Linked DNA regions of Caenorhabditis elegans. The protein of the gene in region 1 interacts with the protein of each later gene in a pairwise test. Each region holds a gene or a part of one and is shown in the gene's direction. Other genes may lie near its edges.

Region 1 (3,299 bases):
CCCACTATTGAACCAATCAGATCGAGTGGGCGGAGTTTGAAGATGCTGATTGGTCGGGGAATACTCATTTTGGACGAAATTTTTCATTTTTTCGCGATATTTAAATATTTTTTTTGCGGTATCTCTGAATTTCGGGCTATTTCTACTCCATTTACGCTACTCCACTCAAAATTTAAAAAAAAGTTTATTTTGTTGAATTATGCAGATTTTGGATCCAAATCAAGGGTGTCGTCAAAAAACTTTGGATTCTAATTAGAAATTATTGAAAAATCGATATATTGGAAAACGATGATTTTTGGATTTTCGGATAAATTGTTTTGAAATAACTTTTAGAAAGTTCTAAAAAGTTGAAAAATTGACAAAATTTTTCGAAAAAAAAAATCAATTTTTAAAAAATAAAAATAGGAAAATTAAAAAATCATATCTTTTTGATGTTCTATAATCTCAATCCACTGGAAGCCCTAAATTAAGCAAAAAAAACTGTTTAAAACGACCGAAATTCGATTTTCCGATTTTTTTGTTGAGAAAACCCAAAAAATCAACAAAAAAAAAATCCAAAATGGGTATTTTTCATGAGGAATTCAATATTTTTGATACATTTTTTTTTCCGATTTTTGAGCCGAATCTGATTTTTTTTGTCCAAAAAACCTGCAGAAAATCTCAAAACTCACGAGTAATAACTTCTCGAATCTCTCGAATTCCTTTCACATCTCTATCAACAGAACTACGAAGCTTCTCGTTGAGCACTTCGATATAAAAACTCAAAAATTCGAAATAATTATCGTTGGCCCACACCATTCCATCTCGAATAATATCTGGAGCCGCCGCGGGGCCTGAAGACGATCCGAGACGTTCACGATATGTTGATTCTCGATCACTACGTCGAGAAGCTGCTGGTTTTCGATGATCCTTGTCACCTCTGTCACGAGATCGGGATCGAGAGGATCGTCTTTGGCGTGGCTTGTCTCTTCTACGATCATCACGGACAGATCTTGCTGCAAAAATTATAAAATTATCTCGTTTTCAAAACATTTGAAAATGGCACTGCAACTTTTTCCTCACGAGGGACGAGGAAAAGTGGTTTCTAGGCCATGGCCGAGGGGCCGACAAGTTTCAGCGGCCATTTATCTTGCTTTGTTTTCCGCCTGTTTTCTTTCGTCTTTCACAGCTTTTTCCCGTTTTTTCTTATTAAAACTGATAACCAAATATTTTTTGCAGATGCCAAAACGATTTCCAAGTCAATAAAAAAAATGTATTCAGTGGGCAAGCAGCGGTGAAAGTGGTCAATGTAAAATGATGGATTACGGGAATACAAAACCTAAACTTTTTCTGAAACATGATACATATGATGCTTAGATGCTGAAATTACCTGATTTTCATAACGAGACCGCTGAAAAAGTTTTGAGGTTTTCAAAATTCAACTTTTTGTGCGAAAATCTCGACTTTTTCACCAAAAAAGTTGAATTGTGGAAACCTCAAAACTTTTTCAGCGGTCTCGTTATGAAAATCAGGTAGTTTCAGCATCTAAACAGCATATGTATAATGTTTCAGAAAAAGTTTAGGTTTTGTATTCCCGTAATCCATCATTTTACATTGACCACTTTCACCGCTGCTTGCCGACTGAATACATAATTTTTTGACTTGGAAATTGTTTTAGCATCTGCAAAAAATATTTGGTTTAATTACCCAAGTTTGAGTTTGAGGTACGCCGGTCAACTGCTGCAGGTCATTGGTCATGTCGGAACCACCTCCTCCTCATTCCGCCCCAGTGCCTATGGTGAAGACGGATTTCTTCGCTTTCTCTGGTCCTTATCTCCCGGAGGACGCTCACGGTACGAGTTCTCCGCCGGAGAAACAACAGCAAACCCGGAAGCGCGGTCGCCCGACCGCTCTTGAATTGCTCACTACCCGTGTTGAAGAATTGGAAAAGGAAAATTCGAGCTTGAGAACCTTCCGTACCGCCGCTGAAAGCAGATGTCGTGCCCTGGAGAGCAAACAATCGGAACTCTTCCAAACCGTCGAGCAGCTCAAGGTAGTTGTTGCCAAGCTCACGAACGAATGCTCTGCCCGTGTTACCTCCAATTTGCCCGCTCCACGCCTGTTCGCCGATGTTCTCAAGGGACAATCAGCCGAGAAGAAAGCAGAGATCATTGCAGAAAGACGTGAAGCAGCAGCCAGCATTTCCCTGTTTGAGAAGAAGACTCATTTCGCCGTGATTGAAAATCTACCGGATGATGGCTCGGATTCACAATCCGCCAAGGATAAGGTTTTTCTCGATAATTTAATTGCCGCTAATCCCTCCCTCCCTGTACATATTCAAACTTTCCGCGTCAAAACTCGCAAACCAGTCTTATCCCGCCCAACAAAAATTCGTTTCTCTTCTGAAGCCGACCGCAATTCGTTCATTTTCTCTTTCTCCAAAACTCTCCGTTCGTTGCCTGATCGCCCCACTAACCTTCCAAGACCCATCCGCTGCAGACGCGATATGACCAACGATGTTATCTATCCTGAGAGAGTTGAGAGCTGACGCTTATAACAGAAATACCCAAGCTGGCGAGATTCGTTATTATGTGCGCGACCTTAAGATTGTGACTCTCTCGTCACCGCGTCCACTTCCTATCTCTGTTGATTCGGCTGCTCCCGTTGCTAACGCATAGGTAAACGGCCACCGGGCTTTATTATCGTCTTGTCCGTCCATTGCTTCTCAAAGTGTGTCTTTCAAAGGTGTAATTTATCGTACGCGTCATACAGTAGCAGGCTTTCCCAATTTAATTTATTGTCTACCCACCATAGACGGGTTCTTCAAATCCTCCGAACCTTCCATAAAATTATTTCAAGCGAGTATCACTTCCCGTCCTTATCATCGTTCGTTCGAGCTTCACGCTCTACTCGTCACCCCTATCTACTTGTTGTCTGTGGCGTCCCGTCTAAATGTTTTCTACATGTTAACTTGTCGTTGTGGAACCGAATAGCAAAACGTTTCCCTAAACTGTTAACTCCAAATGCATTTGCGTCGCGCCTAGGCTCTATCCCATTTGACACCCTCTTCCCCCCAACTTGACCTCCCGGGCTATAGCTGGTCCAATTGGTCATTTTATTTATCTGTCCACACATCTTTTTTATTTTACTTTTTTTCTTTGTCTTCCGGTGTAGCTATTTCTTGTGGCAAATAAACAATTATTATTACTTTTCCGAATTTTTGAATCGCCATCACTTTTTTGAGAAATTTTCGGCAGTTTCGGGCCATTTTGGGTCCAGTCTAAAAACGTACCACTGATAACTTGAATTTCTGGAGATGC
Region 2 (4,927 bases), 5.0 Mb from region 1:
CATTTTTAAAATGCTAGAAAGGGAGTGGCTAAAATCAAACAATCGGATGGGTCAAATGATGCGTGACTTTTTGATTAACAGGCTGGAAATTCTACCGAGTTAAGCACTTTTTCATGATAAGTCTGAAATCATTCACATTTCAAAGTCGCACTTCTTAAAGTTCCTAAAAATACTAGATATATTTTTAGATGGCAACTTTTTTTCTGAAATATTCAGAATAAAAAATATTCAATGCGGCATCAAAAATAGTTTTAAAGGAAGATTACTTAGTATCAATTTATGAGTGATTTAATACTATAAAACAAACAGAAACTCTTATTTACCACTTACAAAAGGGAAGAGATTATGAACTGATATTGATAAAACAAGAGTTGCCTCGATTTGGAAAAAAACAACTTTTTTTCAGTTTCTTAACAAAACAATACGAAAAAGAAATTCAGATGAAGTTTTTGTTCATAAGATTTTTTTTTAAGACAGCGTTATATCGAATCAATATTTTTGGTTTTCTAAAAAAAATAATTTTAATTGGATCGAAAGTTAAATTATTGTTTTGTATTTTTATTGTTCTGCACAACGCAACAAAAAGAGAAACAACATTTAATGGAAAATAAAATGCATCAAAAAGTAATGCTCTCAATTATGGCTCATTTTGAAGGCGTTCGTCAACTCAACCGGAGCAAGGATGAAATGGGCTATTGAAAGAACATTAAAGTACGCACGAAAACAAAACGTTAATTCGAAAATAGGTATTTATGAAAATGATTTTTTTCAATTCTATACGGATGAAAACAATAATTTAAATGTGTCCTGAGGTTATTGTTTTCAAATTTCCTTAAAATTAATTTTGGAATTATTTTTAGAGTTTAGGAAATCACATGTAAAATGGAAAGGCCTCAATTCTGAACTTTTGAACTTTTTTGCGCGGGGTAAAAAATTAGCGCGGATTTACCCAACGAAAAATTTCAAGGATTTTCCAAATTATAAGCTTACAAACCGTTACACAAACAACATTACGATTCAAAATAATTATTCCAGTATAAATTGAATATAAACCTAGCTCAAAATTCGCCAAATTATTACTGATTTGATAATAATATTAGCCAGTAAGATTGAAACCAGAAACAAATATGAAAGAAGATTTCAAACTCGATTACATGAAGCAAGCCTAGAGAGAAAATATCGCAATTTTTCTGAAAACTTAATGTGATACATGTAGTGCCAACTTGGCAGATGTCCTATATGTCTTCGAACGTGAACTTTAAATTTTAAATTCGTCTTCATTTCAGCCACCCACTAGTTTGATATCCGATATCCTACGTCCAGAATTGTGCCGCCCACTTCATAATTTTCGGATAAATATCAGTTTCAAATGGTTACCACATTAGCAAAGTACCTACCACCTATGATCTTCGTTCAAAATTTCAGCTCGTGACTCACTCCCTCTTCTTTTTCATTGCTATAAAATGTGTTTGCAAATGTTATTTGCTCTACGAAACACAAAATATGCAAGTATTGTCGTCGCCCATCATCAAAGTCATAAACGGGACAGTGTCATTAGTTTCGATTCTCTTCGCTTTTTTCTCCCGCATTTTTTATCACTGATAACAAGACCTCGTCCACCTGCTCCCTCTCCTCCCTTTTTTCTTTGCATTTTCAGAAGAAGGACATATCAGTGTTGGCATTGTTGGTTGATTCACAGAGAAGTTATTATGTTCATCACTGCATTAATTGCAAAGGAACTTGGATTGTCTCGAGTTAAAGAACTTAATCCTACTGTCACTATCAATGGTGTCACAACCGTGGAGTTAGAGGTAACTTTATAAATTAGTTCATAGTTGAAAACTCATATATTAAACCAATAGGAACTATTTGAGGGCATTGCAAAAATCTCAAAAACTTTTAACTCAAAATTTAAATGTACTACAGATATCAAGTACTATAAAATTATTGTAACTCCTATTACTGTTAGTTTTTTTAATGGCTCAAATTTTAAAAGGATTTTGCAAATTTTTTAAATATTGCAAATATGATGCCAAAATCGTATACGTTACATTGTCGACTCTCTTAATCTGACTATTATTTTCAACGATTAGAAAAAACCGTCAACGCTAGATTAAGATATTTTTAGACAATTTTTAATGTTTAATTTCAAAAATTTTCGAAAATGTTGCTTGTGAAATTATCTTTGAACTTCACTTTTAAAGGTGCTAGTACGAATTACTTTCCAATGTTTTGTCTTCGTACAAAGCTTTCATGTTTTTTAATTCCATATTACCTCTTTAAAATTAATACTTCATGTTTGTGTTTTTGGATGGAGTGTATTATATTGGGAGTTAAATGAGCACAAAGATTATTCCGGTTATAAGGAAATTTCGTTCAAGTCGTTTCATTTTCTAATGACGTTTTTTGTGGAAATTTTTAACTGCCTGTTTTACTGATAAGAAAACGGAAATATTGTTAAATAAACAAGTTTTTCAAAATTGAACTCAATACGGTTGAAACAAAAAAAAATAATTAAAATATTGGAAGTATAGTATTAGGATTAGATTTAAACTTTCTACGAAATTGTTCCAAATTCGAAAGAAATGTGCCAAAATGTGATACTGAATGACCTTTGAATGAGGCCAATTTCTTTCTCCCGCCCTTCTAGAATATCATCGTTTTCTGGTTTTAGACAGCGGAGGGCCTCTTCCGAGTGCATTTGGTGAGAGATGATCAAGATGTTATAGTGAAACTAGAGGAAGGAAGCAAGCTTGCCGCCTACTACAATTCACTTTTCTGGCATGAGATATCAACGTTTGAGAAGATTCCTATTCCAAGTGCACATTTTAATCGATCGTTTGTTGTGACGGAAGATGAAAACAAACATTCTGTCTATGTTACTCAATTTTTGAAGAAAGGAAGTGTTCGTACCAAATTGGGATTACCAGAATTGGAACAAGTTGCCTCACAGATTGCAAAGTTACACGCTGTCAACTCAAAAACTATCAATAAACAATTCTCACTCAATGTGCAAGAAAATTATGGAAACATCATATCATTCAAAAAGAAAATTCAAAAAGAATTGATTGAAGTGTTGGAAACAGCAGTAACTACTACAGAAGTTGCAGACTACTTCATGAATCCATCCTCAGTTATTGAAAAAGTTGGAATTTTGACTCATTACTTGGAAGATTGGAAAGATGAAGATGCAGATGAAAAGGAAAAACATAATGTTATCGCACATGGAAGATTGACAGCTGAGATTTGCAGATTTGATGAGGATGGGAATTTGGTAGAGATCACAGAATGGGAAGTACGTAATTATTTTTAAAATAGAAAAAACTGCGTTCTACTATAATTTTTACTTTTGATCTTTCAACAACGAAAACCTAATTAATTTAGAACATTCATCTTGGAAATCCAGTGGAGGATTTAGCAAATTTGATTGTTTCATCTGCAGATGTCGACATTCGACGAAAAAAGTTCATGAAAGTGGGTTCGAGAGTCTTATGGGAACGGCAGAGCACCAGATGTTTTTGATGTAATTTGTTTTAATTTTAGATATTTCAAGTCTATTTTTATGCACTTGTTGACTATTACCCACCAAAGTATCAACTGCATGATTTGAAAAGATGGTTCCAGGAATATCAACCTACAGTTCTAATCAATGGGTGAGTTTAGGTTTCAAATTTTCAAATGTTTTAAAAGACCAAAAAGTTGTCGTACTTTTGATATTTTTTATAAAATAGTGTTTTACCGGATTTTCAAGAAAATAATTTTTCAAGGCATTTTAGGTTGCCCCAAATTTTCAGAACACTAGTCCCATTAAATAAAATTTCTAATCATTTCCAGAATCGAGTCTCTACTTTTTACACTGAGTGAAGGTTCGGATGACGTCAAACAAGATGCTGCACGTCGATGGGAGACAGCGTTGAATGATACTGTAGATTTCTTGACTGGAAACTACATTTCGGATAATGAGCACCCATTTCTCTCACAAAAAGAGAATGATGATTGAAGAATAAGATAACGTATTTGCTTTTTTTTTCAAAGAATCGAGAATAAATGACCGAATTCAAAAATAAAGATTGGTCGTTTTTTCTTGGTGACGAATGAATAAATCTTCAATACAAGAACGGAAAGATGCATCTCTTGACAACGTAGATATACGGACGACAAAATAATAAATGTATGACGTGTGAGAAAACACTTGAAGCTTGCTTAAAAAAGGGATTGGGTGTCTTCGAGAAAATCAGAACATTTCTTTCAAATTAAATTATGTAAGAAGATGTTCATATTACAATATATAAATAGCAATATACTATTTATAAATTATATTGTAAATAGATATTAATTACTTAATTTATTTATTTACGCTCGCGAAGAGACGTGGAAAAAGTTGAAGAAAAAAGAAAAATGTACACATAATAGATCATAAATACAATACACTGAATAAGAGGGATAGAAACAAGAAGAATAAATAGGAACGAAAGTTTGTTAACAGGACAGTTAGGTCAGGCGGGAGGAGATAATGTTATGTGGGTAGTTCATGAATCATCAGTTGTCAGACATCTCGTTATTCAAGATCTGATATATGTTTTAGAAACTTGGGGCTACTCAGCGTACGGTTTACAATAAAATGCTTATTGTAAATAATATTGTAAATAATTATATTGAAAATATGTTGAAAATAGAACAAAAAATGCAGCATCCGAAAGTTTCAGATGAAGAGTTTCAGCACTTGGTACATCTATAGCAGATTTTGAAGAGATGTTTGTATCCAAACATCTTTTGGCAGTTGATCAAGAAATTAATGATAGAAAAATATCACACCATAAATTCGCACATTTCTTTGAAAATAAAATCTTTTCAGAGTATTTGAATGTATAGTAATTGTCACAATCTTTATTCGAGAATATCGAGAGGATGTAGTTACACGTCTCCA

What was found.
Region 2: the proteins of hpo-39 (region 1) and C50F4.1 interact in a two-hybrid assay, tested with the Caenorhabditis elegans proteins (one large-scale study listed by BioGRID).

The regions. Positions count from the first base shown.
Region 1 is NC_003283.11:4,572,361-4,575,659, reverse strand, and holds hpo-39 (uncharacterized protein), read left to right. Parts: upstream 1-1,735; coding exon 1,736-2,527; downstream 2,528-3,299. Other genes in the region: Y61A9LA.3 (C2H2-type domain-containing protein), read right to left, coding at 672-995, 3,272-3,299.
Region 2 is NC_003283.11:9,525,136-9,530,062, forward strand, and holds C50F4.1 (CHK kinase-like domain-containing protein), read left to right. Parts: upstream 1-1,657; 5' UTR 1,658-1,709; coding exon 1,710-1,811; intron 1,812-2,674; coding exon 2,675-3,295; intron 3,296-3,384; coding exon 3,385-3,474; intron 3,475-3,543; coding exon 3,544-3,653; intron 3,654-3,834; coding exon 3,835-4,000; 3' UTR 4,001-4,115; downstream 4,116-4,927. Other genes in the region: C50F4.10 (non-specific serine/threonine protein kinase), read right to left, coding at 4,915-4,927.